3 linked regions of the Canis lupus familiaris genome follow. The protein of the gene in region 1 interacts with the protein of each later gene in a biochemical or structural test. Links are inferred from orthologs where the notes say so. Each region holds a gene or a part of one and is shown in the gene's direction. Other genes may lie near its edges.

Region 1 (4,134 bases):
ACTGTTATCCTCTTTGCCGTGGCCTTCCGATGACTACCTCCTCAGCCTTGTCCCTGCTGCTGGGTTGTGGTGGGGGGCGGGGGGAGGGGAGAGCTGAGAACCCCTTCCTTCTGTGTCCTTGTGAACTCCTCAGGGGGAGTCCCCTGTACCCAGCATACTGAGACTGACGTTCAGTGCCTGGCCAATCCTCCACAACTGTGGGGGTCCTGTTCCCGGAGACTGGGCCCCACACATGAGAGTACTGGTGGTGCCAGGGGTCTTCCCATTCCCATCAGGGTCAGCACAGGCCTGCAGAGTGGACACCGAGGCCCGTCGGGGACACTGCATCCCCAGGGCAGGCGTGCAGGGCAGAGGCCCAGCGCCCCTCACTGTCAGGGCCGTGCCTCGACCTCCCTCCTGCACGTCACGAAGGGCCCCAGCGGCCGTCTCCCACGTGGGGGTTAACAGAAACCCGACGTCCTGACTGACGCCCGGCACGATTGCCGGGCCACCAGCGGTTCAGCCCTCGCGGCAGCGCAGCCGGCTCTTTCGCGCCACGGAACGCACCACGCGGGTCACCCGGCACTACCCGCACAAAATGGCGCCGCGCAGAAAACTGTAGCTGGCAGAGGAGCCGGCCGGGGTCCGCGCGTACCTCATTTGCATATACAAAACTGACGGATTTCACTGGCTGCGAGCGGCTTGGCCTTCACTGGGAAGAGCCCCATTGGCTATCCTCCACCCCTCCCCGTCCCCTGGCTCCGCCTTCTCCGCCAGGGTCTGCCGCGTACGAGCCTCGTGACGCCATTCCACGATTGCGCGTCCCTATTGGCCAGGGAGCCTTCCATCATCCGTTTAACCCCCCCTAGTCCCGCCCATCCTCGCCCCGCCCCGGCTCCGCGGCCGACCGTTAGCCGCGTGCGCGATTTCCTGGGCGTCAGTGCACGCGCGCGCACGCCGGGCCAGGGAGGTGTCTCATTCAAACGATCCAATCAGCGGGCGCGTTCCCCCTCGCGTCTTCTGCTCCTCCATCATCCCGCCGCATTGCCCCCATTCTCCAGGGACCCCATTACGACCCCCGCGCGTCCCCATTGGCCGGCCCGCCGCGTGCCCCCCTCCCCAACTTCTCCTGAGTCTTCTTGCAGCTTACGGGAAGGGAGCGAGAGCCTCGAACGCCTAGGGCCGTGCGCGGTGACATCACGGGTCAAGGCGCGGCACTCCGGGACCGTGGGGGGGTGTGGCCTACAGGCGGCTATAAAAGGGCGGCGTTGCGCGCGCGGCCGGCTCAGTGCGGCCGGGTACTTGGGGCAGGCGGAGTTCTAGGCGCGCTGCGCGGCGGCCGTCGGAAACAGCCGGGAGCGGAGCGGGGCCGCCGGGGCCTCTCCAGGGCCACAGCGGCAGCAGTTGGGCCCCCCGCCCCAGCCGGCGGCCCGGAGAGAGCAGGAAAGGGGCCGGGGGGACCCGCCCCCGGCCAGCCACAGTCATGGTGAGCGCGGAGGCCAGGCCCGGGTTAGGCGGTCGGGGGGCCCCCGCTGGAGGAGGAGGCGGGGTCTCAGGAGCCTCTCGCGGACCGTGTGTATTGGGGGGTGTCCCGGGCCTGAGATGGGTCACAGGCCTTCCTGGAGGCGGGCAGGAGTGGAGGCTGGGCGTCTCGCAGGTTCCCCGAGGGGAAGGCCGGGCTGAGCCCCGGAGAGGGCTCTCGGGCTTTGTGGCTGGGCCGTGGGGGTTCCGGGAGCAAGGTATTCGTCTCCAGCCCTGACTGAAGGTTTCTTCAAGGTTAGGTAGGGGAGGGGGCCGGGGTAGGCCTCGGGCACAGCCGGGATCTTTTTTGGAGGGGGGATACCGGACCCACCCGCAAGCCCCTTGAAAGACCGCCCCCATTTTTGGCGAGAGGCCAGCCTGGGACGACCCTAGAAGCGTACTGGGTGGGGTGTCTGGGGCTGCCGGGTCAACACCAGGATGGCCCTAGCATCCTATCTGCGGGAGGCCCTGGCTCTGCCGGTTGCTCACTCCTTTTTCTCTATGTCCAGAACTCCAATGTGGAGAACCTGCCCCCCCACATCATTCGCTTGGTGTATAAGGAGGTGACAACGCTGACTGCTGACCCGCCTGATGGCATCAAGGTCTTTCCCAACGAGGAAGACCTCACTGACCTGCAGGTCACCATCGAGGGCCCTGGTGAGTGTGGGACTGGAAGGAGGATGGGTGTGCTTATAGATATCTCCCCATCAGTACAAGAGTAGGTCAGAAAGGCAGACAAATAGCGTATGATTTCGCTTATACGTGGAACCTAAAAACCAGAACTAGAACAAGAATAGGAACCCCCTGTTATAAGTTGGCTCTGCCAGGTGCTGGAGATACAGTGGTGGGCTGCACAGAGACACACAAATAACAGAGCATTGCGTATATTTTTCCTGCAGGGAGTGAGAGCATTTAATGGGCACCTTACTGGGGTTTGTCAGATAGGGGTTCTCTGGGACCTGGAGGGTGGGCCCCCAAGACAGGGGAGGGAAGCAAGCCAGATGCAGTGTCACAGGAGGGAACAGTAATAACCAAGTGATCGCACGTGACTGTGGAACCGTGCAGGGATGTAGTGAGCTGTTGTCACAAAGTAAGCTGAGAGGCGGCATGAGCATGTGGTGGAGGACCTTGTGATGGAGAACCTGGTCAGGAGCGGGATGTGGTGAGGGCGTCATTGCTCCCAGATAGGGGAGGGCCTGAGGCAGGTGCCCTGGATACTTGGTAGGAACAGGAAGAAGAGACCGATGAACGTTTAGGGCTTGCAGGAGTCTGGAAGGAGTTCAGAAAGGAAGCCATTGGCGGATTTAAAGCACAGGTGATGACTGCAGTGTTCAGTTGAGAGGAGGGGAGGACAGGTTCAGGAGGAGACCAGGAGGTCAGCTGCCCAGGCTACCACGGTGCAGGGTATTGTGGGGGGACCAGGGCGTGAGGAACAACATGGGTCCAGAACCATTCACTGAGGTGGGCAGGCGGGAAGACCCGAAGTGACAGAACAGTCCCATCACTTGCCTACAGGCCTCCCAAGGAGATGGAAGGCAAGTGAGTGGGAATCTTGGGAAGGGTACATGACCAGGACACTTGGGAGAGAAGAGGCATCCAGGGGTGGCTATGGGGCCCCTGGGAACCTCGCTTCTGGTGGAGGAGGTATCAAGGCACTGGCCTCACAGAGAGTCCTGAGCCTCCTGACTGAATCCCCTCTCCCTCCCTCCAGAGGGGACCCCTTATGCCGGAGGCCTGTTCCGCATGAAACTCCTGCTGGGGAAGGACTTTCCTGCCTCCCCACCCAAGGGCTACTTCCTGACCAAGATTTTCCACCCCAATGTGGGCGCCAACGGTGAGATCTGCGTCAACGTGCTCAAGAGGGACTGGACAGCTGAGCTGGGCATCCGGCATGTCCTGCTGGTGAGTTCTGAGATGGCCCAGGCCTCCTCCCTCCTGGATGTCCCAGTGATGTCAGAGCCATGGTGCATTGTTTCTTGTAGTAAAACTAACTCTGAAGTAGTTGGGAGTTTCCATATAAAAAATCCAGATTTCCAGCTGGAAAGTTCTGGGAGGATTGGCAGTGCTTTACCCAGGACACTAAGTATGGTTGTATAGGTGGTGCAGTACCTGGGGTACCTTTGCTGTAGAACAAGCAATGGGTTTGTATAATAGGATACTTTCTGATAGTACAAGTCAAGCATTTGGTTAGGGGTGTTGGGCTTTTTCCTAATCTATAACTTATGATATAAAATTCAACATTCTAAGTATACAGTTGTTGGGTATATAGTAATCACAAAACTTGTGCAACCGTCACTGCTATAGTTCTAGAATATTTTCATAAACTTCTGTTTCTCAAACAGCAGTGATTTGTACCACCAGGGACGTTTTGCATTGTTAGGAGAGGTTTGTAATTGTATCTAGCAGGGGCCAACCAGGGGTGCTGCTCCACAGCCCCAACAGAGCAGTATCAGCCAAGCCAAGATGGAGACACCCATGATCCCCAAAGGCCACTCCCCACCCCACTAAAGCTGAAGAGATGTTTTTTAGGGGCACCTGACAGGCTCAGTCGGAAGAGTATGCAACTCTTGATCTTGGGGCCTGGGATCGGGAGTTCAAACCCCATGTTAGGTGGAGAGCTTACTTAAAAAAAAA
Region 2 (3,644 bases), on another chromosome or scaffold:
AGGCCCAACCACAAGGGACTGTCCAGCCTGCTCTTATTTCTTGCCTGTTTTCTTCTGCCTGAGAATGCAGCCTAGCTGTGATGGGGATTCAAAGCAAGTACTTCTGTGGCAGTGGTCTCACGTGGGTGTGAGCCCAGAGGCCTGGCTGGGGTACCTGTGTTGCTCCCATGTAACAGAGCACCCAGACGTTTATCTGTGGCTATATAGTTTATGGGGGAATGTACTCATCCTGGGGTCCACGTGGCCATGTTGCCTATAAATGTACATGCGTTCAGAATGGTCCTCACGTTGTCTGCACACGATGGGGCCAGTCAGATGCGTGGCCCCCGGGAGTCTGTCTACCGAGTCAGAGGTGAGCACTCTCTCCGTGCCCTGCATCAGGCCCACCATTGCCAGAGATAAGCCTGGGCACTGAGGTCTTAGGGTGTGGGGGCACATTGAGGGGAGGCCTGGGAGGCCTCCTTTGGGCTTACTATCCTACTCCAGAGCAGGCGGCTTGGGGGCTCCCCAGGGCTGGCTGCAGGGTGGGCCGCTGTGTAGCTTCTCCTGGCCTCTGGTCCACGTCAGACTGGGGCTCAGCTCCTTACCTCCCCATACCTTCCAACAGTGGATCGAGAGGGTGGTCGGCTGGCTGGGCAAGGTATTCCTGCAGGATGGCCCAGCCAGGCCTGCATCCCCTGAGGCTGGCAACACACTCCGTCGCTGGCGCTGCCACGTGCAAAGGTTCTTCTACCGTATCTATGCCAGCCTACGCATCGAGGAGCTCTTCAGCATCATCCGAGGTTGGCCCCCTGCCCACTGCAGTAGCCCACCTTTCCTGGGCCTTTGCCCTTCAGATCTTGCAGGCAGTGAGGGGCACTGGGGACTGTGGCGTCCACCAGCATGGGCTACCTCAGCTCAGTGTCTGGGTCAGGGTGGTGTGGTGGGACATCAGAAATGTCCACTCTCATCCTCTCAGCCTCATGTCTGCTCTGTCCTTCTGCACCACGGGGTTGGGGGTGGGGGTGGACGATGGGCACGCATAGGCACAAGGATGACCTGAAGCACCTAACAGATGTCTCTCGGTGTTCCAGAGTGGAGGTGCAGCTGCTTACCCTCTGGGCTCCGCTGACCTTGTGTCTTGTGTGCACAGCATGTGGGTGCTGGCATCTGTGTGTTTGGGTATTTGCATGCATGTACAAAGGCTGGTACTCTTCCTACAGACTTCCCAGACTCCCGGCCAGCCATTGAGGACCTTAAGTACTGCCTGGAGAGGACCGATCAGAGGCAGCAGCTGCTCCTGTCCCTTAAGGCTGCCCTGGAGACACGGCTCCTCCATCCAGGTGCTGAAGCTGCTGGCTGAGAGTCCAGCCTCCCCAGCCCAGGGCCTGTGTAGGGAGCAGGTTTACGCAGCCCTTAGGAGGGTCAGGGCACTCCACTTTATCTTCCCTTGGAGGGAGTCACAGGAAATGATGGGTGTGACCTCAGGGCAGGTGGGGTATGTGATCTCTTCAGAACAGACCACCCAGTGAGGGGGGGCTTGGATCTCGGAAAATTCTGGGGAGAGCACCTGAGAGTTGGCGGGGAGGAGGCTACTTCCTGCATGTCACACTGGTGTCCTGAGGAGGGAGGTCACACAGACAACCTGAAGCCTGCCCAGCCAGGGCGCAGCTGCTTGCTCGTGGAACCACAAGTCCTGGGTACTGTGGTGACTGCCGTCCTCCATCCTGGCCGCAGGTGTCAACACATGTGACATCATCACCCTCTACATATCTGCCATCAAGGCCCTGCGTGTGCTGGACCCTTCCATGGTTATCCTGGAGGTGGCTTGTGAGCCCATTCGCCGCTACCTGAGGTGAGTACCGCAGGTGAGCCCCAGGGAGCTGCTCCAACCTGGAGCATTTGTCTCCTGGACCCATTTGTGCAGCCATGCTCCTCCTGGGTCCCTGTGCCTTTGAAACACCAGGGACACTCTGTCCTTCCTGTAGGGCCACATGGCCTGGCCAGGGCTCCCTCCTGTACCTATTGCCCAGTGCCACCACCTGTGTGCAGACACTGGGGGGGCCCCCCTTGCATCCCTGCTCTCCATCCTCCTCCCCTTCTCCCAGCACAGAGAGGCCCCCGCTCAGCTTTGCCTTGCTGGACAGGCCCCCAGGCTGACGAGGAGCAGAGGCTGTTGGGTGGTCTGTCAAAGATTGTGTTGAATAGGTACTGTGGTACAGCTGCCCAGAAACGCCTGGGGCAGTGGAGGCTCAGGGCTGGGGCTGGGAGGCATCCGGAGCTGCCCTGACTCACGTTTACCATCTCTTGGTTGTGAAGGGCCTGGTTTTCTTACTTTTCCTTTTTTTTTAAGATTTTATTTCTATGGGAGCATCTGTACGGCTCAGTGGTTGAGGGTCTGTCTTTAGCACAGGGTGTGACCCCAGGGTCCTGGGATCAAGTCCCATATCGAGCCTGCTTGTGCCTCTCCCTGTGTCTCTGTCTCTCGTTAGTAAATAAAATCTTAAGAAAAAAGGATTTTATTTACTTTGAGTGAGAGAGAACGCGCGCACAGCAGCAGGGGAGGGCAGAGGGAGAAACCGACTCCCTGCTGAGCAGGGAGCCTGATGCAGGACTTGATCCCAGGACCTCGGGATCATGATCTGAGCTGAAGGCAGGTGCTTCACCTCCTGAGCCCCCCACGCACCCTGGTTGTGTCTTATTTCAATTCTTGGTGCTCCTGGAAGATGGTGGGTTTTTAGTTATTTTCACTATCGTTATTATCCTTTGAGACAAAATTTGGTAAACTCAGCTTAAGCACGTGGCCAATAGGCACTGGCTGCTGGGCGAGGAGATAGGGTGGTGTGGGCTAGTATGGAGAGCAGGGAGAGGTGCCGTGAGGGCCAGCAATGCTCATATTTGGCAGGACACGGGAGGATACTGTGCGGCAGATTGTGGCTGGGCTGACAGGGGACTCGGACGGGACAGGGGACTTGGCTGTTGAGCTGTCCAAGACCGATCCGGCGAGCCTGGAGACTGGTCAGGACAGCGAGGATGACTCTGGCGAGCCTGAGGACTGGGTCCCTGACCCCGTGGATGCCGATCCAGGTCAGTGCCCACCAGCCCTGCCAGGCCCTGGACTGTGGGGGAGGGTTCAGGCCTCTAGTTGGTTTTCACCATGCCCTGAGGTTTGCGGGGGGTCATCTGGCCTCATCCTACCCTACCTGTTCCCCCGAATGCTTCAGCCAGCTTGAGTGGGCCCACAGTGGCCTGTCCCCAGCCCGGTTGCTGGAAGAGCGGGTTCCCAGGCAGCCTATACACTGCCCACCCTGCCCCCAAGCTGGGATCTGAGCCTGGGCCTCACAGGCTGGGCAGGGTGGGCCCTGCTTGAGCACAGATGGCACTCCCTCTCTGCTGTGCAGGGAAGTCCAGCTCCAAGCGGCGCTCCTCGGACATCATCAGTCTCCTGGTCAGCATCTACGGCAGCAAGGATCTCTTTATCAACGAGTACCGCTCACTGCTGGCTGACCGCCTCCTGCACCAGTTCAGCTTCAGTCCTGAGCGGTGAGGCCTGCAAGCTGCTGCCTGCCCTGCTTCTGAGGGAGGGGCATCAGGGATGCCAAGCAAGGACCGGCCTGAGCTCAGCCAGGGGTTTGGGGAGGCCAGGGGCAGTGAGGGGGTGGCGC
Region 3 (3,327 bases), on another chromosome or scaffold:
TCTTCCTTAGTGTCTCTGGAGAGCTCTCTTTTGATATACCCAACCCCCTTTCTGTCTCCTTCAGGTTTGTGCTCTCTTGTCCTGCTCTGCCTCTCCCTCTGGACCTCCTTTCTCTCCCAGGATAGGTTCCTTTTCAAGTCTTCTCTACGTGAACATGTTTTGCCCTTCCTGATCCCCCTGCCCCAGGGCCCCCGTTTCCACCTCAGACACTGGCCTGGATCTAAAGGGGCTGATGGTGTCCCTTTCTTCCTGCAGATGACAGCCGTCTAGAGGAGCTCAAGGCCACACTGCCCAGTCCAGAAAAGCTCCCTGGATTCAAGATGTATCCCATCGACTTTGAGAAGGTGCTGGGTGGGAGCCGTGGGCAGGCAGGGGGATGGGCTAGACAGAACTGACCTTTGGGAATCTGATGGCAGCCCCAGGCCCTTATGGGAATTGGATCTTGGGCCTGCTATATGGCCCTGAATGTATAGATGTTCCCAGCCATGCCTTTGTGATCTGAGAGCCTGGCAGGTAATTGCAGTGGAGGATACTTGTCTGCAGAGGCCAGGAATCCTCTTCCTCCTCTGACACTGATCCTCTCTCATCCTCTCCCCACCCTTCCCCTTCTCCCTCCCTCATTCATAAAAGGATGATGACAGCAATTTCCATATGGATTTCATTGTGGCTGCTTCCAACCTCCGGGCAGAGAACTATGACATTCCCCCTGCGGACCGGCATAAGGTGAGGGGAGTCTGGACCTGATTCCCCCCCTCACCCCTGGCTTGAGTTCTCTACATTCCATTCATTCAATGTAGGCTCTGAGCCGCTTCCACCTTAACTACCGTGTTTCTTGATCTTCCTGCCTCACAGAGCAAGCTGATTGCAGGGAAGATCATCCCAGCCATTGCCACAACCACAGCAGCTGTGGTTGGCCTGGTGTGTTTGGAGTTGTATAAAGTGGTGCATGGGCACCGACAGCTTGACTCTTACAAGAATGGTTTCCTCAACTTGGCCCTGCCCTTCTTTGGCTTCTCTGAACCCCTTGCTGCACCCCGTCACCAGGTAAGGGCCTGTATCAGGGCAGGTAGGTTTGTGAGCAGGGGGTTTCTTCTGTGGAGCTGGCTTTAGTTTGCTTGCATAGCCTATCACCAGGTGAGGGTTTCTGTCAGCATGCACCTACTCCTTTTGTGCACACCTTATTCATTTATTTCCTTGCCCTGTTTTGCGCTAAGCACTGATGTGAATCTGCCTGTAGAAGCCCTCAAAAAAGATGGAATATTTTAATTGTACCCTAAGAGGTTATTAATAACATAATAATAGCAATCAACATTTACTGGGTGCTTATGGCAAGTACCTTTACTCACTTTATTCATTAACTTCAAATGTTTGCTGAGCACCTGTGTGCCAGATACTCTTGTAGGTAGTAGGATTGTATTTGTGCAACAGATTTTATAACATGATAAATGATTTTAGAACCTCCCAAGAAACAGCAGGGCAAGGAGGACTTGAGACTACCAGGTGGCAGGGGGATGGGATGGGGCCTTCAATTGTGGGATGGTCAGGAAAGGCCCTGCTGAAAAGATGACCTATAAGCCCAGACTTGGGCTCCCTCCCTCCAGAGGGAGACAGACCATGCAGGCTCCTGGGAGGAGAACATTCCCAGGCCAAAGGGACCATTCTCTTCACGGGTCCCAAGGTAGGAGGATGCTTGGTGTGTTTGAGGAAGAGTAAGTTGGTAGAGCGGGGGCGGGATGAGGGGTAGGAGGTTAGGCCAGAACAGGCTCCCAGTGCCTAGGCTTGTCAGTCATTGGTCACCGAAAGGTTTCGGTTGCTAGCTCAAGTTGTGAGAGAAGCCACGTTTTTGATGGAAGAGGCTTGCAGTCTGAGCACATTAGCCTGAGTGGGGGTGGGCAGCAGGGGTGAGGACAAGACTGACGGGGCTAGGCCCTGTGCTGGCCCCTATCCCATCAGCCCACTTCTTGCCCCACAGTACTATAACCAGGAGTGGACGTTGTGGGATCGCTTTGAGGTCCAGGGTCTGCAGCCTAACGGTGAGGAGATGACACTCAAACAGTTCCTTGACTACTTTAAGGTGAGGCCCCTTTCTCACTCTCACCCCCACCCACAGGCAGAGTGTGCTGGTGAGATTCACTAGGCTGCCCACCCCCCGTGACACTGCTGTCCCCCTTCCCCCTCCTCCAGACAGAGCATAAATTGGAGATCACCATGCTGTCCCAGGGTGTGTCCATGCTCTACTCCTTCTTCATGCCAGCCGCCAAGCTCAAGGAACGGTTGGATCAGCCGTGAGTTGGGGGGCTTCTGCTCACATCTGTTCCAGCCCAGTTGGCTGCCCTTTGCCTCTTTCCCTGCCACCCAGCCCTCCCTCACTTTTTGCCTCCCTGACCCTCTGTTCCCCCCACCCCTCAGGATGACAGAGATCGTAAGCCGTGTGTCGAAGCGAAAGCTGGGCCGCCATGTGCGGGCGCTGGTGCTTGAGCTGTGCTGCAACGACGAGAGCGGCGAAGACGTCGAGGTTCCCTATGTACGATACACCATCCGCTGACCCCTGTCCACGCCCATAGGCTGGCCCCAGCCCTGGCTCCTACCCCACCCCACCCCCCAGCCCAGGGCTCCCATCAAGCCTCTGGCAGTGGTCCAGCTAGCCACGCCTGGTGTCCCCTCCTCATCTCCCTCCCTGCACCCCTCTTGCCGCTGCTTTCTACCTTATTTGGAACCTGAATCCTAATAAAGAATTATTAACCCAGACGTGGCATTCCCTGCTGGTTCCAGGGAAGGAAGAGACTTCCCAGAGCTGTCCAGTTCAGGTGGTAGCCCAGAGGGCTCAACCCCACCCCAGCAGCCAGTTGCCTGGGCAAAGAAAATGGGAATTGCCGCTTCTTCCTCCCACCCTCCGTGTTTGGGAAGAATTGGATGGAGGCATAGGGTGGAGGTAGCTGGGTCCATGTGACTGTATTGGAGCTGGGTTCAAATTCCATCTTGTCCAGCTCTAGCTCCCAACTCCCCACCACCATGTTGATTTTGAGAGGTAGTGAAGAGTCATGTTTGAGCAAGCCCCGCAGCTTCTCTAACCTTGTCTTTCGTGAAGAAGAACGTTACTGCAACCCGTCGACCAGGGCTTGGTTAGCATGGCTTATGTCCTTGGGGGGCAGATCCCTTCCCATGTGGCTTAAAGCACTGAGACTCCAGACAAGTCTTAAAATCATGGTTCCCAGGACCAAGTGCCCAAGGTCAACTTCCCAGCTACAGGGGGCTCTAAACAACTGTTGGACTGAGGAAGATCATGACTGTTCAGACTTTAAAGTTTTTATGAAAATATTTGGCTGA

What was found. The genes of interacting proteins can lie anywhere in the genome.
Region 2: the proteins of UBE2S (region 1) and ANAPC2 form a complex in vitro, tested with the Homo sapiens proteins (3 studies listed by BioGRID and IntAct). The link is inferred for Canis lupus familiaris from reciprocal best matches to the Homo sapiens genes UBE2S and ANAPC2.
Region 3: of the proteins of UBE2S (region 1) and UBA1, one has a biochemical effect on the other in vitro, tested with the Homo sapiens proteins (8 studies listed by BioGRID, with this or other methods). The link is inferred for Canis lupus familiaris from reciprocal best matches to the Homo sapiens genes UBE2S and UBA1.

Annotation. Positions count from the first base shown.
Region 1 is NC_049222.1:103,047,622-103,051,755, forward strand, and holds the start of UBE2S (ubiquitin-conjugating enzyme E2 S), read left to right. Parts: upstream 1-1,291; 5' UTR 1,292-1,462; coding exon 1,463-1,465; intron 1,466-2,009; coding exon 2,010-2,157; intron 2,158-3,211; coding exon 3,212-3,402; intron 3,403-4,134. UniProt on the Homo sapiens protein: Accepts ubiquitin from the E1 complex and catalyzes its covalent attachment to other proteins. Catalyzes 'Lys-11'-linked polyubiquitination.
Region 2 is NC_049230.1:48,466,607-48,470,250, forward strand, and holds part of ANAPC2 (anaphase-promoting complex subunit 2), read left to right. Parts: intron 1-607; coding exon 608-782; intron 783-1,202; coding exon 1,203-1,322; intron 1,323-1,716; coding exon 1,717-1,834; intron 1,835-2,884; coding exon 2,885-3,066; intron 3,067-3,380; coding exon 3,381-3,522; intron 3,523-3,644. UniProt on the Homo sapiens protein: Together with the RING-H2 protein ANAPC11, constitutes the catalytic component of the anaphase promoting complex/cyclosome (APC/C), a cell cycle-regulated E3 ubiquitin ligase that controls progression through mitosis and the G1 phase of the cell cycle.
Region 3 is NC_049260.1:41,006,997-41,010,323, forward strand, and holds the end of UBA1 (ubiquitin-like modifier-activating enzyme 1), read left to right. Parts: intron 1-255; coding exon 256-344; intron 345-630; coding exon 631-723; intron 724-852; coding exon 853-1,044; intron 1,045-1,972; coding exon 1,973-2,074; intron 2,075-2,184; coding exon 2,185-2,285; intron 2,286-2,409; coding exon 2,410-2,545; 3' UTR 2,546-2,748; downstream 2,749-3,327. UniProt on the Homo sapiens protein: Catalyzes the first step in ubiquitin conjugation to mark cellular proteins for degradation through the ubiquitin-proteasome system.